Linked DNA regions of Danio rerio. The protein of the gene in region 2 interacts with the protein of the main gene of each other region in a biochemical or structural test. Links are inferred from orthologs where the notes say so. Each region holds a gene or a part of one and is shown on either strand. Other genes may lie near its edges.

Region 1 (4,563 bases), on a different chromosome or scaffold from region 2:
AGCTCTACCTAAAAAGTTACCTCAGAAGATTTACACATTCTTCCATCTCTTACCAGACTCACCAAAAGCTTGAAGACACCACCTTCTTCATGAAACTTGGCTGCAACAAAATCTAGCAGTTCCATCTGATGCTCACCTCAAAAATTAAAAATAGAGACAGATTTGTAACAAAACACACAACACACATTTTGTGGCTCCTCTTTGTCTAGCCAAATAGATTCTCAAGTAAAATGACACACAAAAACTAAACAAAGAAGTAGCAGCTATTCTTACTGGTATACGCACGTGCATAAAGCACATTGTCCAGAACAGCTTCATGATCCACATTGAATCTGTCAGCGATGTCCTTCAGCCTCTCAGGCCGACTGATGTTCACAATTATTAAGGTAAAAAGTTCAGAATGACTTCTCCATATGAAATGGATTTAGTAAAATGAATCACTCACACACAGCAAGCAAATGCACAAATGATACAAGGTGTTTTCGGTATCAATGAAGATGACCTTTCCTCCTGTGTACCCAAATTCCCCAGGAAGCTGAGCAGTAACTGAAGGGAAAAAAGAAAACAAAATGATGTGAATGGTCTAAAAATGAGAATTAAATTCCGCATTTAACATTTACACAAGATTCATTCTTACCACACAGAGTATGTGAGAGCTGAGTCTTTCCAGTTCTGAATTCTAAATGAGGCATGGGAAACAATTCACAAAGACAAAAACATATCATTTTGGCAGAAGTGATGTACGGAAAATGCCTAACATATCATTATGGTTTCAAATCAAAACATCACCCTACCACCAAAAGCCTCGGTGATGGCCATACTCTCCACACCTCCTCCAAGGAGTTTGCTAAAGTAAATATGAATAAACCGTTTCTCCTTTCATGTCAACAATGTAAGACTTTCATCGGAAAACATATATAAAACAACATGTTACTGCTTGTACACTGAAAACCTTAATAAGTTGACTGAACTAAATGAATAAAGTAAACTCTTTGCCTCAGTTTATTGGAGTAAATGAGTCCTCCAAAACTTACATATTTCAGTTTATTTACCTTGCCAGTTTTGTAGATTATACTTAAATTGTTCAGTTCACCACACAAAAACAAATTCTAGCCACAAATAAAATTTGGTGTCTAAAAATGTAAGACCTATAAAGCTTCTTACTCAAACTCCAAACTGCCAGTTGTGATGTGAAACACTTGCTTTCTCTTGATGCAGTATTCAGATGCTGTCTGGAATCCGCATGTCTGCATGAATGAACAGAACATATTACATTTACAACCTCCTTGATCGATGAGTAGTTACAAAATACAGCAAAAAATATATAAATCATGTCAACCAACACATCAAATTACCAGCAACTTTCCAGCGGCTTCTTTAATTTTGTCCACTTTAGCTTCAGAAAGTCCCTTTATGTTACAGAGAGCACGGCGTGTGGTCATCTGGATGCCTTTCACCGTACAAATCCCTACAGACTTCAGTTTCTTTATGTCGGCCACGTTCTTCAGAAAGATCATTATGGGTGAGAACCACTTTCATGATCATTTCATAACTTCATAATAACAACATTTTACTTACAATGCCATGCTTCTGCAAGAGCTCAATGTCTTGAAAAAAGGATTCCTGGAAGAGATTTGATAGCAAATGTTCATCACATTACATAGAAACAACAAATAAATAAAAAACAAGTGGGGATTTTCAGATTTAAGTTGAGAAACTGTAGGTTAAAAAATCATGTGCTTGTCAGTTTTGAGAATTTGGGGTTTTCATAAAGTGTTTATCAGTCTTATGTAAAGATAACAGCCAAAATACAATGTGAGTGTTTCTTTTATCACACATTTTTTTTTCATTGGGCAGTGGATTTCAATTTCAATATTGTCAATCAAAATGAGTTTTCCTCTTCTGTACTGTGCCATAAATCTCCACTTTAGCAGCATTCATTTTAACCAACTTTAGTTTTATTCATATCTTTAATCTGAAGGTTTTAACAGATCGATGTGCTCATAATTAGCCTGATTATAAACAGTATTTTATTCTACAATACTTTATTGTTGTTACTGGTTACAGTCTTTTTCTGAATTATGAAGTAAAAAAAGAGATACCTCTAATATGTATTAATAACGACTATTCCATTTAATGTTTAGGCTGTGTTAGAACTGTACACCACTTTACTGTACAGTTGTATTTTATGGTTTTGACATGAGTGTTTTGCTTTATGCACCATTATGATGTTATATTTTTTATAAACACAAGACCTAACACGGTTAAATAAAAAAGCATGTTTTTGCACGATTGAATGGGCTGTGGCTGCCTGAAAATGAATGTAAATCACCTCATCATCTTGGTATCCCGACTCCTCTTCCAAAGTTTGTTCCTCCAAAACTTTCATACTTTGAATGAGACAAAAAGAACGTTTAAGTTATAATAAAATACCTGTGATTTGGCATGCTATTAACCACGTAATTTGGTAACAAGTTTACCATAAATCATTTAAAACTTGCGGCTAAACCGGCTAATTTACATGTACGTTTTGTTGAAGCGCTGTGATAAAAAAATGTGTCTTGTTCCTTGTCATAACGTTGTTAATTAATTATTTTTAATTTTTTTTAGAACAGAAATTACATTTTACCTGTCGTTTATTCCTGAGAAGAAGCTGAAAGAAATTTCGCGCCACAATCGTATGTTGACACTTTGGCTCGGCGTGCACGCGCATCAGTCCCGCGCCCAAGCAAGCTTGCTACATAAAAAAATGTATAATAAATAAATAAATAAATAAATAAATAAATGTCGTTTTAAACTGCTTTTTACACTGTTGTTGTTAAATTGTTAAAATATCTCTGTTTTACCTTTAATGACAAAAATTGACCAAAAACATACAAACTAATTTTTTAGGTTTATTGTTACAGATAAAATGTTACATTTTAATTTGAAACTTGTTTAGGAAAGATTTTATTTCAAAGGTAGGTGATAATTAAACAAACACAACTATAAGCATGAAAATTAAATAAAGGTATGATGACGAATACTTCAGCTTTGCAGCATGTGTGTATTTTTTAGCACTTAAATTATACATAAAGAGGAAATAATCACAACACCAGACACAATAAAGTACATTGTTGAATAAATATATTTTTATTGTTTTCTCATTGTGTTCCATCCTTCTCCATCTCCTCTTCCTCTTTTTTCCTTCTCCCTTTCCTTCAATCCTTTTTCTATTTAAACTTCTCCTCCTCCTTAATCTTGTCATCCACCTCCTCCTTATCCATCGTCTCTTCTTTTTTCCTTTTCTGTCCTTCAATCATTCTTGTCTTTAATCTTCTCCTCGTTAATCGCCATCCACTTCCTCCTTCTCCATCATTCTCCTCCATCTTCTCTTCATCTTTTTCCTTCACCCTCTCCTTCAATCATTCTTCTCTTTAATCTTCTCCTCCTACTTAATCTTGTCATCCACCTCCTCCTTTTCTATCATTGCCTTCTCTATCTTCCCCCTTTTTTCTTCTCCCTTTCCCTCCATTCATTTTCTTTTTAATCTTCTTCTCCTTCTTAATCTTATCTTCCACCTACTCCTTCTCAATTATTGTATCCTCCATCTCGTCCTCCTCTTTCTTCCTTCTTGTCCTCCACCTTAATTTTGTCCACTTCCTTCTTCCCCACTGGATCTCCACAGGATGAATCAGGTTGCTGCAGCTTGAGGTCTCCTTCCAGCACAAACCAATCCACTACTACAAACCCACAGTGCTTTGCAGTGCCGCACAGCTTTATATAAAGATTGGAATAATTTATAATTAATTGTTATACTGTAAAATTTTTTTTTAAGAAAAATGACTAAGAAAATGTCAGCTGGATAAACTATTTTGAATGCAACAAAAGCTTTTTTATTTGTGAGTCTTAAAAAAATATTTATTCGAAATGTATATATTTGGTGGCAAAGGACTCAAAAAAGGTTTTGGGAAACTCAAACAACAAGAACTGAAATTTATTTACTTCATAAATAAATTTTAAACAAAATATTAAGACAAATATGTACAGTTGAAGTATTTATTAAACCCCCTGAATTAAAAGACCCCCTGGTTATTTTTCCCCCAATTTGTTTAATATAGAGAAGATTCTTTCAGCAGATTTCTAAACATAATAGTTTTAATAATTCATTTCTAATAACTGATTTATTTTATCTTTGCCATGATGGCAGTAAATATTATTTGACTAAATATTTTCAGGACACTTCTAAAGGCTTAACTAGGTTAATTAGGTTAACTAGACAGGTTAGGGTAATTAGGAAAGTTATTTTATAATGATGGTTTGATCTGTAGACTAGAAAAAAATATAGCTTAAAGGGGCTAATACTTTTGACCTTATGGTTTTAATTACTAAACCCTAAAACTGTTTTTATTCTAGCCAAAATAAAACAAATAAGACTTTTTACAGAAGAAAGAAATGCTATCAGACCTACTGTGAAAATTTCTTTGCTCTGTTAAACATCATTTGGGAAATATTTAGGGAATTTCTGACTTTAACTGTAGTTTGCAATACTTAGGCTACTACTGCATATTGCACATATCAGCA
Region 2 (4,519 bases):
CATTTTGAAGTTTTTTGTTTTCCCTTGATCAAACTCTTTAAAAAGTATGGCATCACTGATACGATTTCAAGTAAAAATGATAATTAAAAACAGGTTTCCCGACATGAACGAAAAAAAAAGTGTAATATTGTTTGGTGGTCTTATCAAGTCTACACTTGTCTAGTTTGATTGTTGGGTTTGGAGGATCAGACTGACCCGCTGGGAAAAACAAACCAAACAGTTAAGTGGAACTGCAGCAGAACAAAACATTGTGGGCACGTGGCTTTGTTTGGGTGTCTAAACTGTGGAAACTAAATAAAACTGCAGGGTTTTATATAGAAGTGGCCTTTTCCTGTCTATGGACACAGCAGCTGTTTGAGTGTACAAACATATTGGACAATAACATACCTGAAGCTGCTGCTGCAGAGCTTTGATGATGAGCACATTGGCAGCTTCAGCATGAACACATGTGCATGTAAGAAATGTGATTTGTCTGAGCAGATATTTTAGGATCGTCTGGAGGAGTTGAAGAATGTGTGGCCACAAACTAGTCTATCGTCTGCTTGGATTGCAGGACGTCAGTCAGTGCTTTTGAGTCGTCCAGGTCCCCTGCGTGACCAACTCAACCAAATTGCCGCCCACTTACCGGCAGGAAAATGACAAGCCTTAGAAGATCACTAAGTTTCCCTCGCCGGAGAAAATGAGGGACCAAAGATGGTGAATGTTTCCTGTTGGAGTGGGCGGCAGAGAAGACGTGTCCCATTCTCCTACCCATCAGCAGGTTGGCACATCTGTCCTCCAGAGGTCAGTAGCACAGCGCCATCTATTGGATGAGGAGACACAATTCAATTAGCCTAAAATCATAGGATCTGACGATCAATATAAATACAATCTTCAAATGCCCATTTTTATGATGGACATTTGATATTTTACCTTCTGATCACTAATAGGTTTACACATACATACCATCGCATAATCGATATAATCCAATAAAATATGAAATTGAAAATAGTATACCCTAATATGCATTACGTCACTTTCCATTAGACTGGCTCCTTCGTTGTCTTTGTTTATTTTCCCCACACAAAGAAATACTTAGGAATAACTTTAAAGTCTTAATTCATGAGAAATCTCTTTTTATTGATAGGTGGTTTGTTTTTGTTTTGGACTAATTAAAAAAATTATGGCAATATTCTGGAATATGAGGAGTTTATGAGTTTATGGTATAATTTCCGTCTGCCAGCCACAACCTTCAATTGTGTTATATATAGTTTTGTCACCAAGTTCATTCACACATTTATTTTATTTTCGGCTTATTGTCTTTATTAATCCGGGGTCCCCACAGCGGAATGAACCGCCAACTTATCCAGCACGTCTTTACCTATATTTTACAGTCTATGGTCTTTACGCAGCAAATACCCTTCCAGCTGCAACCCATCTCTGGAAAACAATCACACACAATCATTCACACTCATACACTACTGACAATTTAGCTCACCCAATTCACCTGTACCACGCCTTTGGACTGTGGGTGATACCGGAGCACCCGGAGGAATATGCGAACGCAGGGAAAACATGCAAACTCCACACAGAAATGCCAACTGACCCAGCCGAGGCTCGAACCAGCGACCTTCTTGGCTGTGAGGCGACAGCACTACCTACTGCGCCGCCATGTCAAGTTATGTGAATTTATTTCAAATGTTTCTTTACTTCAATGAGGGGAAAACAATTACACCTAAACTTTTTTTTTTTGGATGGAGATTCTTTTTTTGATTAAAAAAAATGTGACAACCGACATGTCAGACGATTGTTACATTACTCTATACCTCCCAAAGATGTACATATTTCTGGGCCAATTCCTCTGACAGCATTCAATGGAAGAGAGCATGGTTATTACCTAAAAAATTCAGCATGTCCAACAAAGAGAGATACATTTTAAGATTTTCATATGTATATCCTACAAATTCCCAAATTGCTATTTATTTTGAACTATCTAATTTGTGTACTTTCTGTAATAAACATGAAGAGACTTTATTTCACTTATTCTATAGTTGCACTCAATCACTCACGTCTTTGGAATAAGATTTTTTATTTATCGTCCTTATTTAAATATGATTTAAATTTGTCTATAAAAGATATATTTCTGTATCTCTCAGGCAATGATCATGCTCTCCATCTTCTTGTTATTATTATTTGTTCCACTCTTAATATTTTTCACACAAAAATAAGTTTCTAAAGGCAGTCCCTAGATTTAATACTTTTACTTGCAGAAACTGAATCTCTTATTATTAATAATAAGAAAAATAAGTTTCCTAAAGCTTATGATAATCTTTTTTTTCTTAAAAATTGAGGCTTTGTAAAGTTTGTATTGTTTTCTGTTTGTTTGTTTTTTTGTTATTATTTTTTTCTTCAATGCAGTGATGTTATTATTCTTATATTCAATAATAATAACATCAAAAACGTTGTCTTTGTTCATATCCCATCTCAAAACCTCTCAAAATCTTTTCCCTTAACCTTTGGCACTTGATTTTATGTTTGTTTTAAATAGTGTGCATAGTGTGTACGTATATCTGACTCGTTAACTCGTTAGACTGTAACGTTACTGCACTTTGGTGGTTAAGTGCTTTATAAATAAAGTTTGAATGAAAGAATGAATGAACGTCAACCAAAAAATATAAAACGCAGACATTATTTAACTTACCTTGGTGTTTTTCAAGACAAGTCATGTCCTTCTGTACTCTGTGGAAAAAAAACAGCAGACAAAGCACACTATCTAGGCTAAGTTAACGTTACATGTTTGAAAATTCAGTTAAAACGTCGTGCTCGCTCTCGTCCATGACTATAGTTTTGATAAAACGTTTTAAAGGATGGTCATACACGACACAATCCATTAATTTCAAGTGTTCTGAGCGTATATGGTAAAAAATAAAACGCAATTTGATGTATTATTAGCGAAAATTCTGAACTCATCGACCGTTAATTTGCCATGCGCGTTCACGCACTCCGACCGCTGACGTGATTACTTTTTCAGCAAACGAAGTGTGTATTTACGTCACATGTTGTTTTTTATGACGTATTGTTTTTAACCTTCAATTTCTGAGCGAGTCGGAGAGAATTGCTACGCTAATATTATGGTGAACAACAGCAGAACATCAATTTAATGGCCAAGGTAAGGACTTTTGATTCAATATTTTGTTTTTTTGTTTCAATTAGGCCTACTTTAGGCTAATATAATTTTATATCACAGACATGTAAACACATTGGTAAACACTGAACATTCTTAAATCTAGATAAATATAGTAAAGAAGCAAAATAACTAAATTATACATGAATAGTTTTTGCTTTTAAAAGTGCTAGTAGTCTATGAACAATGCTGTTGTTTATCTTAAGTGATTGTAAGCTCACATTAAAATCACTGCTTTAGCTTCACTTTTAAAAACAATAATTAACAAAAGAAGAAATTAAAATGATTAATTTAACTGTGAGAAATATGCTACGCCATTTCCCTGACTTGACTGTCCATTTTTTTTTTATTTCAAGCATACTTTGATTCATTTCAATACACTTTTCAATACATTCAAATATTTTCTCTGCACACAAAGTATACATTTCCAAGGGAAAATACTTACTACTAACTTACAAATCCAAAAACAAATCAAACTTCCTTGATTTCAAGTTTCAGCATTTCTTTTATTGCATGAAAACGAATACGTGTACACATTACGTGTGAATATAGAGGCCAAAACTGCGGTGGTGCAACTTTAAAGTGCTTAAATAATGGACGACATCAAAAAAGACATCTTATGAGTGTTTACGTTCAGCCAGCTCACAAAACTGCATTTAAATAATACTCATGATAAAATCAAACACACAGACTTGTAATGTGCTTCAGTTGCTGGGTTTGCAATACAAACTGTCAAATCAAGCAGTCTTAGTGAGCCCTGTCAGTCAGAGTTTTTGACTTCCTCCAGGTGGTCTTTTCTGTTGATAAAGACCCCCTGTATGCGTGTGGCCCGCAGGACACTCTCTTCCCTATGGATGGTGAAGATGAACCTGCTGATGCCAGTGTTTGGACATGGAGAAAACACCTGGTTCATCTTAAGACCTGCGGGCAGACAGCACTGCAGATCCTCCACCAGATGACGCACAGATACGCGGATAAACGCCCCGTGACTGACCATCAGAGCGTGGACGGGTACGTTCTGTGCTCCATCGTCTGCCAGTCCAGCGATCACAGGCTGATCTGCTTCCGATGGCGCAGAGCTCAACGCAGAGCCGTGCTCCTCTAACATGCGCTGAAACAAGGATTTGAGGAACTTCTTGAAGCGAGTCTTTACCTGGAGAGACAAAAGCAGGATCTTCTGTGTGAGCATTTGGGTGCTGTTAGAAAATAATACTAAAATGACTAAACAAGCAATTTTGTAGGTCAGAAGCTGCTTTTAAATGTTTTCAGGAGAAATCTCACATACGCTCACCAATTTATATCAGCATTCATTCATTCTCCTTCAGCTTAGTCTCTTATTTACCAGGGGTCACCACA

Evidence for each region. The genes of interacting proteins can lie anywhere in the genome.
Region 1: the proteins of rad51ap1 (region 2) and dmc1 form a complex in vitro, tested with the Homo sapiens proteins (2 studies listed by BioGRID and IntAct). The link is inferred for Danio rerio from reciprocal best matches to the Homo sapiens genes RAD51AP1 and DMC1.

What each region holds. Positions count from the first base shown.
Region 1 is NC_133187.1:21,020,715-21,025,277, reverse strand, and holds the start of dmc1 (meiotic recombination protein DMC1/LIM15 homolog), read right to left. Parts: upstream 3,047-4,563; 5' UTR 2,847-3,046; intron 2,738-2,846; 5' UTR 2,630-2,737; intron 2,391-2,629; 5' UTR 2,390-2,390; coding exon 2,333-2,389; intron 1,624-2,332; coding exon 1,579-1,623; intron 1,503-1,578; coding exon 1,356-1,502; intron 1,248-1,355; coding exon 1,165-1,247; intron 848-1,164; coding exon 795-847; intron 680-794; coding exon 638-679; intron 547-637; coding exon 474-546; intron 366-473; coding exon 274-365; intron 137-273; coding exon 63-136; intron 1-62. UniProt on the Homo sapiens protein: Participates in meiotic recombination, specifically in homologous strand assimilation, which is required for the resolution of meiotic double-strand breaks.
Region 2 is NC_133179.1:5,639,972-5,644,490, forward strand, and holds the start of rad51ap1 (RAD51-associated protein 1), read right to left. Parts: upstream 3,025-4,519; 5' UTR 2,681-3,024; exon of another isoform or gene 2,624-2,680; intron 803-2,623; 5' UTR 626-802; intron 542-625; 5' UTR 441-541; coding exon 388-440; intron 1-387. UniProt on the Homo sapiens protein: Structure-specific DNA-binding protein involved in DNA repair by promoting RAD51-mediated homologous recombination.